Drosophila melanogaster: one gene and its partners. The protein of the gene in region 3 interacts with the protein of the main gene of each other region in a pairwise test. Each region holds a gene or a part of one and is shown on either strand. Other genes may lie near its edges.

What was found.
Region 1: the proteins of CG5217 (region 3) and CG43732 interact in a two-hybrid assay, tested with the Drosophila melanogaster proteins (one large-scale study listed by BioGRID).
Region 2: the proteins of CG5217 (region 3) and CG17580 interact in a two-hybrid assay, tested with the Drosophila melanogaster proteins (one large-scale study listed by BioGRID).

What each region holds. Positions count from the first base shown.
Region 1 is NT_033777.3:18,948,592-18,952,347, reverse strand, and holds the start of CG43732 (uncharacterized protein), read right to left. Parts: upstream 2,153-3,756; 5' UTR 1,745-2,152; intron 1-1,744.
Region 2 is NT_033778.4:12,804,657-12,808,392, reverse strand, and holds CG17580 (uncharacterized protein), read right to left. Parts: upstream 1,780-3,736; 5' UTR 1,696-1,779; coding exon 1,474-1,695; 3' UTR 1,359-1,473; intron 1,304-1,358; 3' UTR 1,164-1,303; intron 1,107-1,163; 3' UTR 582-1,106; downstream 1-581.
Region 3 is NT_033777.3:19,246,417-19,249,841, reverse strand, and holds CG5217 (uncharacterized protein), read left to right. Parts: upstream 1-1,705; 5' UTR 1,706-1,814; coding exon 1,815-2,052; intron 2,053-2,163; coding exon 2,164-2,573; 3' UTR 2,574-2,790; downstream 2,791-3,425.

The DNA of each region.
Region 1 (3,756 bases), 300 kb from region 3:
TTCACGGGAGTCCCTTTGGGTTATGTTTGCTTATCACCTGGTTGGCTATCCAAACAAGGTGGAAAACGATTGCGGCCCTCTGTTTGCACATTTGGCACGTTTCAATTTCGCAGCGATTGCCGAACTGCATGCAAATTGCAACTGAATCCCACTTTTTTTTTGTACGTTTACTACTTTGCATATGGCAAAGAAACTGGGAAAGCACTTTCATCTGATGATCGACTGTATGGATAGACATCGGAGTGAGAAATAGTCAATTACGAAAATGATTTTCGTGAGTAATTATTAAATAAGCTGCAATTTCAGGTAGGCAGGCTGACTATAAACCATCGCTTATAGTGAAACGTGAGCGGAATTTAAAAAGGAAAGTAATTTACAAAATGTTTACAAATATATTGAGTATTGGTTAGAATAATTGGTTGCCGTTATTAGCATGTTTATAATAAGCGTGAACGAAAATAACGATTTTTAAACAAAATCGTTTCGTTGAAAATCAAAGTATAAATCTCTTGAAAAATATTGCATTCAATTCAATTAATCTTTTGCTGAAAGTGTAAACGGAAAAACACGTCTTCTGCTAGTAAAACTACAATTTTATTTCGCAGATCATTTCCCTTTTTTTTCGGATCAAACAAGAGTATATTCAGATCTAAAAAATGAATTGGAAGATGAGCAATGCGTTTACTCCTGCCTCAAATCGAAGCTGTCACTTGTCAGTGGCACGCGTTGCAGGAACGGAAATCGGAAAGTTCGCCCGGACTTTGGCTGTGACTCCAATTAAGCAGCTGGCGAACAGGTGAAACAGGTGAGACCCAGCAGAAGTTGTCATAACTGCCGTGGACACATTTCCATCGCCATCACCATCGTCCCTTTTTCTTCTGTCTTTTCCGCATTTATCCAGACTTATTGCTGCATTGCAAACAATACGAGGGCCATGTTGTAAATCCCCCAACAATTGTCTGCCTCCAGTTCGTTTTGTAACCTTTCGTTGCCCAGATTGCCCTCTCCTGTTTAAGGACGTTCCAAGAAAAAGCAGCCAGGGTTACCGATTAGGAATGTATGGCCATTGTGCATGTGAACTAATAACGCATTTGTATGTTTGCTTTTGAAAATGGCGAGTTAGCTTGAACGTGAACTCATCCGAAGGAACATTCGCTCAATGCAAATAAAACCCAATTTTGCTGAAATGAGCATTTTTTTTTTTTTTTTTGGTGAATCGTATGGGCATGTGGACCGATTCCAAGAATCAATTTACATGGCCATTCTCGTTTGGTCAAAGGAATAGGTGTCATAGGTTGATATTAAATGGAAATGCAGCATTGTAAGTGTGGCAATAAATAATTCAATACACAGCACGGAGTGACTTTCATTTTAGTTGTTATACAAGTGAATTCCATTTAATAATTTCATTCGTGATAAATGATTAAGGTATTCTTATTTGGAATTGTTTGCCAAAAAACATTTGCATTTAAAATTGTATACGCGCACAAAAGAGGCATAACTTAAATATTGCAGTGGTTTTGCTGACTTTCAAACATCATTGTTTAATTTTAAGCGAGTATGATGTTTAAATGTCTTTAATCCTACCAAGTGATTCTGCAAAATACCTCCCAGCCTTTTGCCCCGATTGATCACCATAAATAGCCCACTCCACAATCTTATAAATGCCGAATATCTCAATTGTGCACCATAGCCAAGGCAATTTCAAAAGAATATGTAATTCGGTTTCCATTTGAATATTTACGTCTCGCTGCCGAGGGCTTTCTCAATTGATTTGTAATTCACTTTTGTGTCGAACAATTCCGCGTTGAGCTCTCCGTTTGCCAGGCCAGGGTTTTTCTTATCGCCGGGATTGGTTTGGCCGGATTTTGGATTTTGGATTTTGACACCGAAACGGAATGCTTAAGCAAACATTAAAATGCAAACGCACAGGACGAAGCGATAAGGCGGAAAGAACAAGAGACCTTAATCGGTGGTCAAAAGCGGGAAAAGTGCGCGCGTTGCTGGGAAAACTGATTCGAGGCTCCTGTCACACGATGCGATTAATGACGCGTTCAAAAGCTGGTGGCAAGCGGAATCCGGAGCTGAATTGAGCTGGCTGAAAAGCGCGTTGCGAGTGTGTGTGCCGCACGGCCGACTGAAATCGACTGACTACGCTCGGCTGCTGCCACGGCATTTAAGGCAGAGAGTGAAGTCGGAAAATGCGAGGAAAATTCGGAGGAAAAGCGAGAGAGCACGCCGCGATGACATCAAGTGAAAGCTCTGCCATTTGAATCGAGAGACGGCTGTTAGTCCAACGCCAATATAGTACGGCAGCGAAATAAATCAAATTGAATCTATGATTTCGTTTTTGTGCACTTCTTTTTTCTACTTCAGGACCCCAGGACTCCTTGGCGCAGCCTCCTCCTCCTCCGCCTCCTTCTCGAGTGGATCCTTCAAGTTGTTTGCCACCGGATTTCATTTGGCTGCGGCTCAATGAGCCGTCGATTCTGTTTGTTCGAGTGGCCGACGAGCGCTTTAATCGCCCATCCAAAGCCAAAACCAAAGCCGCCACTCGAGACAGCTGGCAGGTGGCAGATTTCAGGTGAAACCCGAAGGTTTCCAGGTGCCAGGCCATCAGGTGGTGCCAAAGCTGACAGGTGAGAATCTTGTTTAACTTCGGCTTCTGCTCATTATGCTCCTCCCGTTTTGGTCCGACTTGGCCGTTTGTGCGGATAATTGCCGCCTTCAATTTAAATTGCCAACGAGCTTGGCGCACCTAATTTTCGATTTCATTTAATTTGGCGCAAATCTCATTAGGGCAAAAACGTCGCCCAAGATAAATGGCAGTGTGTTCTTTTGTTTTTTTTTCTTGCTCTTCGTCCGAGGCATCGAATCGCAGATACTTTGACCTGTGCCTGGGGCACTGGCGTCTTTGACTTTCCCTGCTCCGTCCGGCATGCCAAGTCAGCGATTTATTTGGGCCAAACAATGGCGGGATAACCCAGCAAACATTCACTGGCCAACTGATAAGCGCCAATCTCTTGGCAAATGATAACACCGTTGGCCTGGCAGCGCAGGCGCGAGCTTTTCCACAAGAGAGAGATAACGATGGAGAGAGTGGAAAAGCCAGAGAGCTCTGCCAACTGATAAGAAAGCAGCAGACTTATGCTGCCTCTGCATCTGCGGCTTCAATTGTCTTTAATCGCTGCTCAAATGTCGATGATGTCCTGGGAAGTGTTCTGTGGGATGGGTTGGAAAATTGGAGAGCGGTTACCCCGGGGAGGAACTTTAACGAATTGTCATTGATTTCTTTTGAAATGGCACCGCTTTTGTTTGCCTTCGCTTCTGCCACATTAGGCAGCTGAGCAGGGGGGGGATTCTGCTCCTCTAACTCTGATTACTGCAGCTCTGCCTATCGGGGGCAATGATCACAGATTGAATTTGCTCCGGCGGCAGCCGGTCTTAAATAATTATGAGCGCGTTTAATTAATAAGTTTGCCAAGGCAGCAACAAAGACCTCGAAAAGGGTTCTTCCAGAAATATGCTGTTATTGTTTTTGCGGCCGGGAAGCAATTAAGACCGCCTAGCGCATTGTCTTCTCGGCCTCAGCCCCGTTTGACCCCAACTTTGTTATAAATTTGCCTTTGTGCGTGCTCTGAAAAATGACCAGCCCCTCAAATGTAGAAAAAAATAAATATATATATATAAAAACTGTCACACAAAGAGTTTGAAAAACCGAAAATGAAAAAGAGATAACTCAGATCCGAAAGGGGC
Region 2 (3,736 bases), on a different chromosome or scaffold from region 3:
CATACGCAGTGTGTGCGTCTAATGGGTGGAAGCTCGTAAAATACAGAGCAAGCATTAAGATATTATTTGTGGGCTAGGTCTATTCAGTCGATGTCGAGTGCAATTATTTGCAGAATATTTAGTTCAGGGCAGGGTGCTCTTCACATTCAAAATATTCAGTCAGCCAGCCAGTGCCTTCGGGATATATTGTGCTGTATAATTTATCTAAACAGCACATTCCCGTCCGAAAATTTAAAGCCACAAAGTGTCAGACTTGACTTGCTGCGGCTGCTGCTGGCAATAAATCTTAAAGTTCATTAAAAAGTTTATTTATATTTCACCTGCTGTGTGCGAACGAAAGAAGTCTGGCAAGTGTCAAAGAAATAAAAGCTCGAATTGCCGACAAATCTTTGTTAAGCTTGACCTTGACTGATGGCCCCTCTCATAAGAAGTCGTTTTAAGATAAACCCCCAACGCACCGAAATAAATAACTTTTGTCTCGTTTAGTAGAAGCAATCAACTTCCTAAGCTGGTAATTTAAATAAAATGTGTCGTCATAAGTGTGCAATTTTAGTTTATTTATTAAAATTAGAGTTTTAATTCAAATTGTTATTTTAATTACAGCAATAGCATAAATATGTGAAATAAAAATCGTTGTACACTTTTATCAATGAATGCCATTCTCCACTTCGTTAATTAACACCAAAATAAATAGGGCCAGTGAATAATCGTAGGATTTTTTATATGCAACCCAAAATATGTGCATTCACTAGCTTCATTCAACTAAAAAGTGTTTCGCCATTGAAGAGTCAACCAGAACGCCATCAAAAGGAAGCGCTCCAATAAGTTTGAATAGCATCACAAATACACACGTCTACATGCACAAATGTATCTGCATGTGTTGCTGGAGATTGCGCGGCTTCGGCCTTGCTTTTGTAATTGTTAACAATAAAGGAGGCGGTCTAGTGTGGGGTGGGTTGTTTCATCCGGCTTTAATTAAGATCCAGCTGCTAGAATTCATGTATGACAAGTATTGGACTGCACGTAAGTTGATAGTGATATAACCAAGCTTAGCATATCACAATTCAAACAGGAGAACAGACAAATGAATAACTTTACATATGAATCTGCGAAAAGATAAGCTGGTTTATACTGCAAGGCAAATGAAAAATAATATTACAAACCCAATATTAATTATCTTCACCAACTCTGTGGAGTATATATAAAACAAACAGGCAAATGTAGACTGCGATGATAAAAAGTAAAAAGATCAAACTGATGTTTCGACAAGAAAACATAACTGGTGTATAAGTTTTAATTAAATCTAATTTGGGAAATAATTTTAAATAGTTTTCTTTAATATCTGCTGGCATACTTACTCTCGCTAAATGTAGAACAATTGCTTTCGCAGGCCAAGCTGCTTCAAATTAGTTGAAGTTCAATGGGTAATGAATTCCGCCATTTCCGTGGAAGTTTCTATATCGCCAGGAGCACTCAATCGCAACGGACGTCGTAGGAGGAGCACTCACCGAAGTCCGACTTGAGGGTGAAGTACATGCCCACACCGATGCCGATGACCATGATGAGGACTCCCAGCCAGTAGACCAGGCGCCAGAAGGGCCATGACGATGGTGGCTTCTTCTGGGGTCGGTCGGATCTCACCTCCTCCTCGTCAACTTCAACTCTTTGTGGTTGGCGGCGCAGCTTGTTTCCCATTTCCCTGGGCCTTTAACTTTCTGTACGAATTTGCTTCCCTTGGGCGATAATTGATTGGATTTTCCCTGGCAACTCGACAGCAACCGAATGATAACATTTTATTGAAATTACTTGAGCATCTCGTAGGCTGAGATTCATCTCCGATGGCGAAAACTTCTGGCTAATTATTTAAGTTAATTGGCCTTTGTCCGCAAAAGGCCTGCCCAAGCCATGATGATGATGATGGGGTGGTTAGCATTGGCCTGAAATATTTGCTCGGAGGCCACAAAATGTCTCGCAAATTTGTTCAAATTACTTGGAACACAAAACAAGAGTCGTCCGCCACTCCTCGAGATCCTTGCAGGCCCAAGTCCGTGCATAAATTTCAGAACAGGAGGTCCTGGGTGGAATACAAAAGGACTTTGTTTGCGGTCGAGAGATGAAAAGTCATTTCTCTCCATTATTTGCCAACTAATTGGTTGGTAGGACTTGTGCATTTATGTTGCTCAAATGTTTGCCCAAAGAATTCTGGAATTTGGTGAGGTGTCAAGTGGGTCTACCATCACCCTGACCTTTTGCCGTATCAATTAAATGGCCAGCTGGTCAACTGGCCAAATTGAGCAAATGAAGGATGCAACTTAATAATGGCATTCTCGTATATGCGCATATGTATGTACATATAATGCCACTTAAGCATGCCGTAGATCTCATTCTTGCCATGATTTAAGTGCATTTCGATCGGCTTTTCCAGCTTTTCCCCGTGGCTGTATCCTTTGGAGTGCTGGCGATGCCATTACTGCTTCAATTTCAGTTTCTGTTTGATGTTAATGAAAGTTTCCGTCGTGCAAATAAAGCCAAAAGCATGGAAATCAGTAAAACAAATTGCAATCTGCTTTTTATCGCACGTCGCTGCATGACTGCTGGCAGCCGGCATTTTCCTTGCTCCGTCATCGATTGCCTGGCTTTCCCCTCGACTTTTCCCTTTGCTGCTGGCCCGCCCGGCTATTGACTTGCTCATTATGGCCCTGATGATGACTGCTCTCTTGCCACAGCTACCGTTCGTTCGTGTATAGTATCTGTGTGCTTTGGTTCCGTTTCGTTTCGTTTTCAATTTTACTGCAAAAAAGGCATAGATCTCCTCATTCCGCACCCGCATTGGGGGTCGGCAATCAGGGCGGCATAAATTGTTAATATATCTTAACGGATATTCAATTTCCGTCAACCAAGAAATGCATTAAATTGGTAACAAAGCTTAGCCGCTACAACCGAACGATGGCAAAATTGTTAAGCTCCAGCGGGGTATTATTAAAAATTCAAAGTCGTTAGAGAATGGCAAAACTTTGTGCAGTCCGGGCCAAGACATAATAATAATATAGAGCCGGAGTGGAAGGACTGAAAAATAAAGAATGGCCAGGACAATGGGGAGACAACAGGCAAACTATGAACTGGGAAACTGAAAAACTGTGAGAGTGGGAAACTGGGAAACTGCAAGACTGCGAAGCTGAGATGCCGAGAAGCTCAACTATGCCCAACTTGGCTGTCCGACTGTTTATTTTCACTAGACTTCCTCTTTCCCTGGGCTTCGGCCTTATTACGCTTGGCGGCCCATCATCTGCATGGCCTTGGGGTGGGCGGTGGTGGCGATAAGTGGGCGGTGCAGATGGCAGGACGAGCAGGCAAGTTGTCAACTAAGTTTGCAACAATAATCGCCAACTTCACAGGACCTCGAATGACAGAGCTGAGGCAGCAGCAGCAGCAGCTTTCAGATAAAAACCAGAAAACAATAAGACTTTAGGCCGACTTTTATTCAGTCTTGCAAAGTTCTCCACCTCTGGCACTGCAGCGTTTACCCTCGAAAAAGCAAAGGTCCTCAAAAGGAGCAAACAGCAGCAAATAGGCTGTGCTGGCAAGGATCTCTTCAGACTTTCGAGACGTGGCACAAAGGAAAGATTGCTTTTGCTTTTTGTTTGCTCTCCGACTGGAGATTAAGAAGGATTCAAAGGGTGTGAGAAAATGCGAGCAGGTTAGTGTGTGTGGCCTGTGGCATACATAGTTATTCTTT
Region 3 (3,425 bases):
GGGAAAGGGATTGTGTACTGCCAACAGCAGTTTGATTGTTATTGCCAATGAATGAATGCACTTGCTCCGAGGATTTGTCTGCCAGACGACCAACTTATGAGTTTCCATCTACAACTCCGGTCCAAGAGATGCGGCTCCTGCTCCAGCTTCGTTTGCCCCGAGGGTTGTGGCAACACATTTTGCGGTCTGCAGTTGCAGCTTCTGCTGTTTCTGCCGCTGCTGATGCCATTGTTCCCACTGCCCCACCGCAACACTGCACCACAGTTGGATCCCTGCGCCGCCACCAACTCCCATCCAGCGCGATGGTGTTGCTCCTGCGTAAGCCTGCAGGGGGTGTTTATGCTGTTTGTTGTTTGTTATTTGCCGTTTCGCAACTGTGTGTTGGCAATGAATTGGCTGCAAACAACATTTCCGTTTTGGCCATTATATGGCGCCCACTCTACAAATGGGCGAGCATAATAGCCGGAGGGGGAGGTGGTGCAGTTGGGGTTAGCTCCCCGTCGCCGCTGACATTTTCACACTTTTCAGCGGAGTGGGTGAGCAGCTGTTGGCGGCGGGCAAAAGGATTGCCTTGCATTATCCTTGTTCATTTCCCTTATACTTTTATTACTGATGATTTATTGATGTCCCTTTGTTGTTGGCGGCGTGGGGTTTTTTCATTAACTTTTTATCAAAGATCGGGGGTTGGACATAAATAAATGAAGGACACGAGCAATCACTTCAAGGGTTATGAAAACTGCCAAATTAAAGGGCAAACATATGAAGTATCTACTACCGTTAAACAAGATACATGTATAATGTTTTAAACGTTGTTTTCATTCACCATTCGTTGGTCTTCTTCTGATGCACGGTATTGCACTCTTATAGTAAGTAATTGATGAATTTTAATGGCTTTCAAATTGGTACGATAATGTATATCTGTTTTTCAGAATTTCAACACCTTCGCCAGACAATAGCATGCTGCAAGTGCCGCAGCAATTGTCCATTGTTTCGGGTATCCTGGCCAACCAACCGGCAATACATAACTACATAAATTAACGGACCTCGATTCCAGGACCAGGACCACGGAAAGGGATCGGGCCAGAGACGTAGGGATGGCGCAGTGTCGACAGCAGGAATCGCCACCAGCTCTTCAATTGATTTTGCGAAAGCACTTTGTTGGTGGGCCCCATCTCAGAAACGGAACACTGCAGCACTAACTGGACAGCGGACGGCGGACAACGGACGACGGACTTCGAAGTTCGAACATTTGAGACAATGGGGCAGCAGCAGCAGTAGCATAACAAGGGGTATTGTGTGCACGTATTGAATGAATTGCCTTTGGCTTTCATTTCAGCTCTTTTTTCTGGGGCTGCAGGCTTCAGTCCAGTTTGGCTTTGTCCTGGCCGGGAAACAGTTCGATTGCGGGAGAAAATGAAATCAAAGTCGTATCAATTTGAAACCTGTTTCGATGTCGTTGTTAACACATGTTAACCAAACGTAGCCAAATTGCCAAGGAAAATGCAAAAAAACGTGGCAGCAGAAATCGAAATTGATATTGTTTTTATCTACATGAGTTGTTAAAATTACAATATATATGTAAAGTACCAATCTCAAACTTATAAGGCTGTAAAATCCTTTTTAAACTCACTTAACTGAATTCTACTTTTCATAAAAGGTGACAAGAACTAGTTGACTCTGGATTTTCTGACACTTTGCATCTGGTGTTCAATTCAACAACACCAGTCACATTAATCTTATATTTCGTACAAAACCGAGCCATATTTTATTGTAAATAAAATTCGATAAAATTTCGGTGGACATATTGGACGAAGATGTCCAGTCTGCAAGATATTCCGCTTGCCGACCCCGAGGGCCTGTCTGTGGAAGGTCCCGAGGTGGCCCCCGCTCCAAAGTCCAATTCCTTGAAGCGCTTCTTTAAGATCAGCAAGAAGCCAATGATGCGCGACCAAGTGGAGGATGACGACGAGACATCCTCCCAGGACAACAAGGACCTGGGAAAGTCAAACACTATAAGTCGCTTCTTTACCCGGATGAAGGGAGCCAATAAGGGTAAGCTCTTTTGACTGGTATTAAATATGATTTGTTGAAAAAAAAATGATTGCCTAATGACTTACAATTAAAAGGAGCTCTTCTTGAATAATCATAAACCCCACTTGCCAGATGTTCAAGATCCTTCGAGCTCGGTGGTCGAACCCGTGGAGCAGGATAAGCCGTTGCCGAATGCAAAGCCCACGATTAAGACATCCATTTCATCCTACTGGAAGATACTGTTCAACCGGCAGAAGAGCCAGCGCCAAAACGCAGCTTTAGGGCAGACCAATGCCAATAAAGAGGATAACGAGTCTGAAGAAGTCCATGAACTGCAACCAGTAAGCCAAGATCCCGATACCGATCCTCAGCCGACAGTCAAGGATGAGCACGATGAAATGGAACGTGGCACAGATCCGGAGCCACCCAACCCGAAGCCCAACAAAAGTGTTGCCAGCAAGGCATCCGGTCAGGAGATTGTCAGTGCCTTAGAGGGCGGCCAGCTGTCTACCAATGATCACGAGAATGCGGCTTCCATTTAGCCGTCTTCAACTAACACTAATCAAACCCGATGTCTAGTATCTCTACCGATCTCGAGGCAAAGGTTTAGAAATCAGTTAGGGAGCTGATTCAACCTTACACAATATATACTCTTCAAACACATCCCTGCTAACTGACATACATACAAGAACAAACATTTTCGCTTTGATTCCACAAATGATAATTCCGAGCTCACGAAATAAACACATACAAGACCCCAGTATGTTGTCATGTCATCCTTTGTGGTAAATCCATCCGTTTTTGTTCGTCTAAGGGGTCACAGAGTTCAGTTAAATCGGTTGTTAAAACGTCTTCACTGGGGGGTTTTGATTACCTAAACGAGTTTCATGTTTTGCGTTGCAAACAGTGGGGTTAAAAGGTGCCGCATGAGCCAGACAAGCCCGAGAATTATTTGAGGTTTTCACTTTCGAGGGAAGCCCTAAAGATGAGCCACCCCCAAAAGTTGGCTAACTAAATCACGTAATGAGTATTTAATTGTTGGAAGGTGTGCTATTAAGGAATAAGGGTGCAGAAAGTTTTATTTTAAACTTTATTTCAGTATCAGTATACCAGTGCAAATTTCTTGGCTCAGTTCCAAAGAGGTAGATATAGATATATCTCAAGAATGAGTAGTTTTCTTATCTCGTGTCAGTACTTTGGAAAATCTGAAACACACCAGTTGCATATCAGGATAAACAGCTGGGCGATGTTTACCAACATTGAGCACAATCTGCGCAAACTCCGGACCCGACTGAAAATAGTAAATATTTACATTGGCTAGACCAAAACAAGCACTTGTTGAAAGCCGACCGGTGAGTGCGGCAAATGCGAGATAAACACGCGATATGCGCATG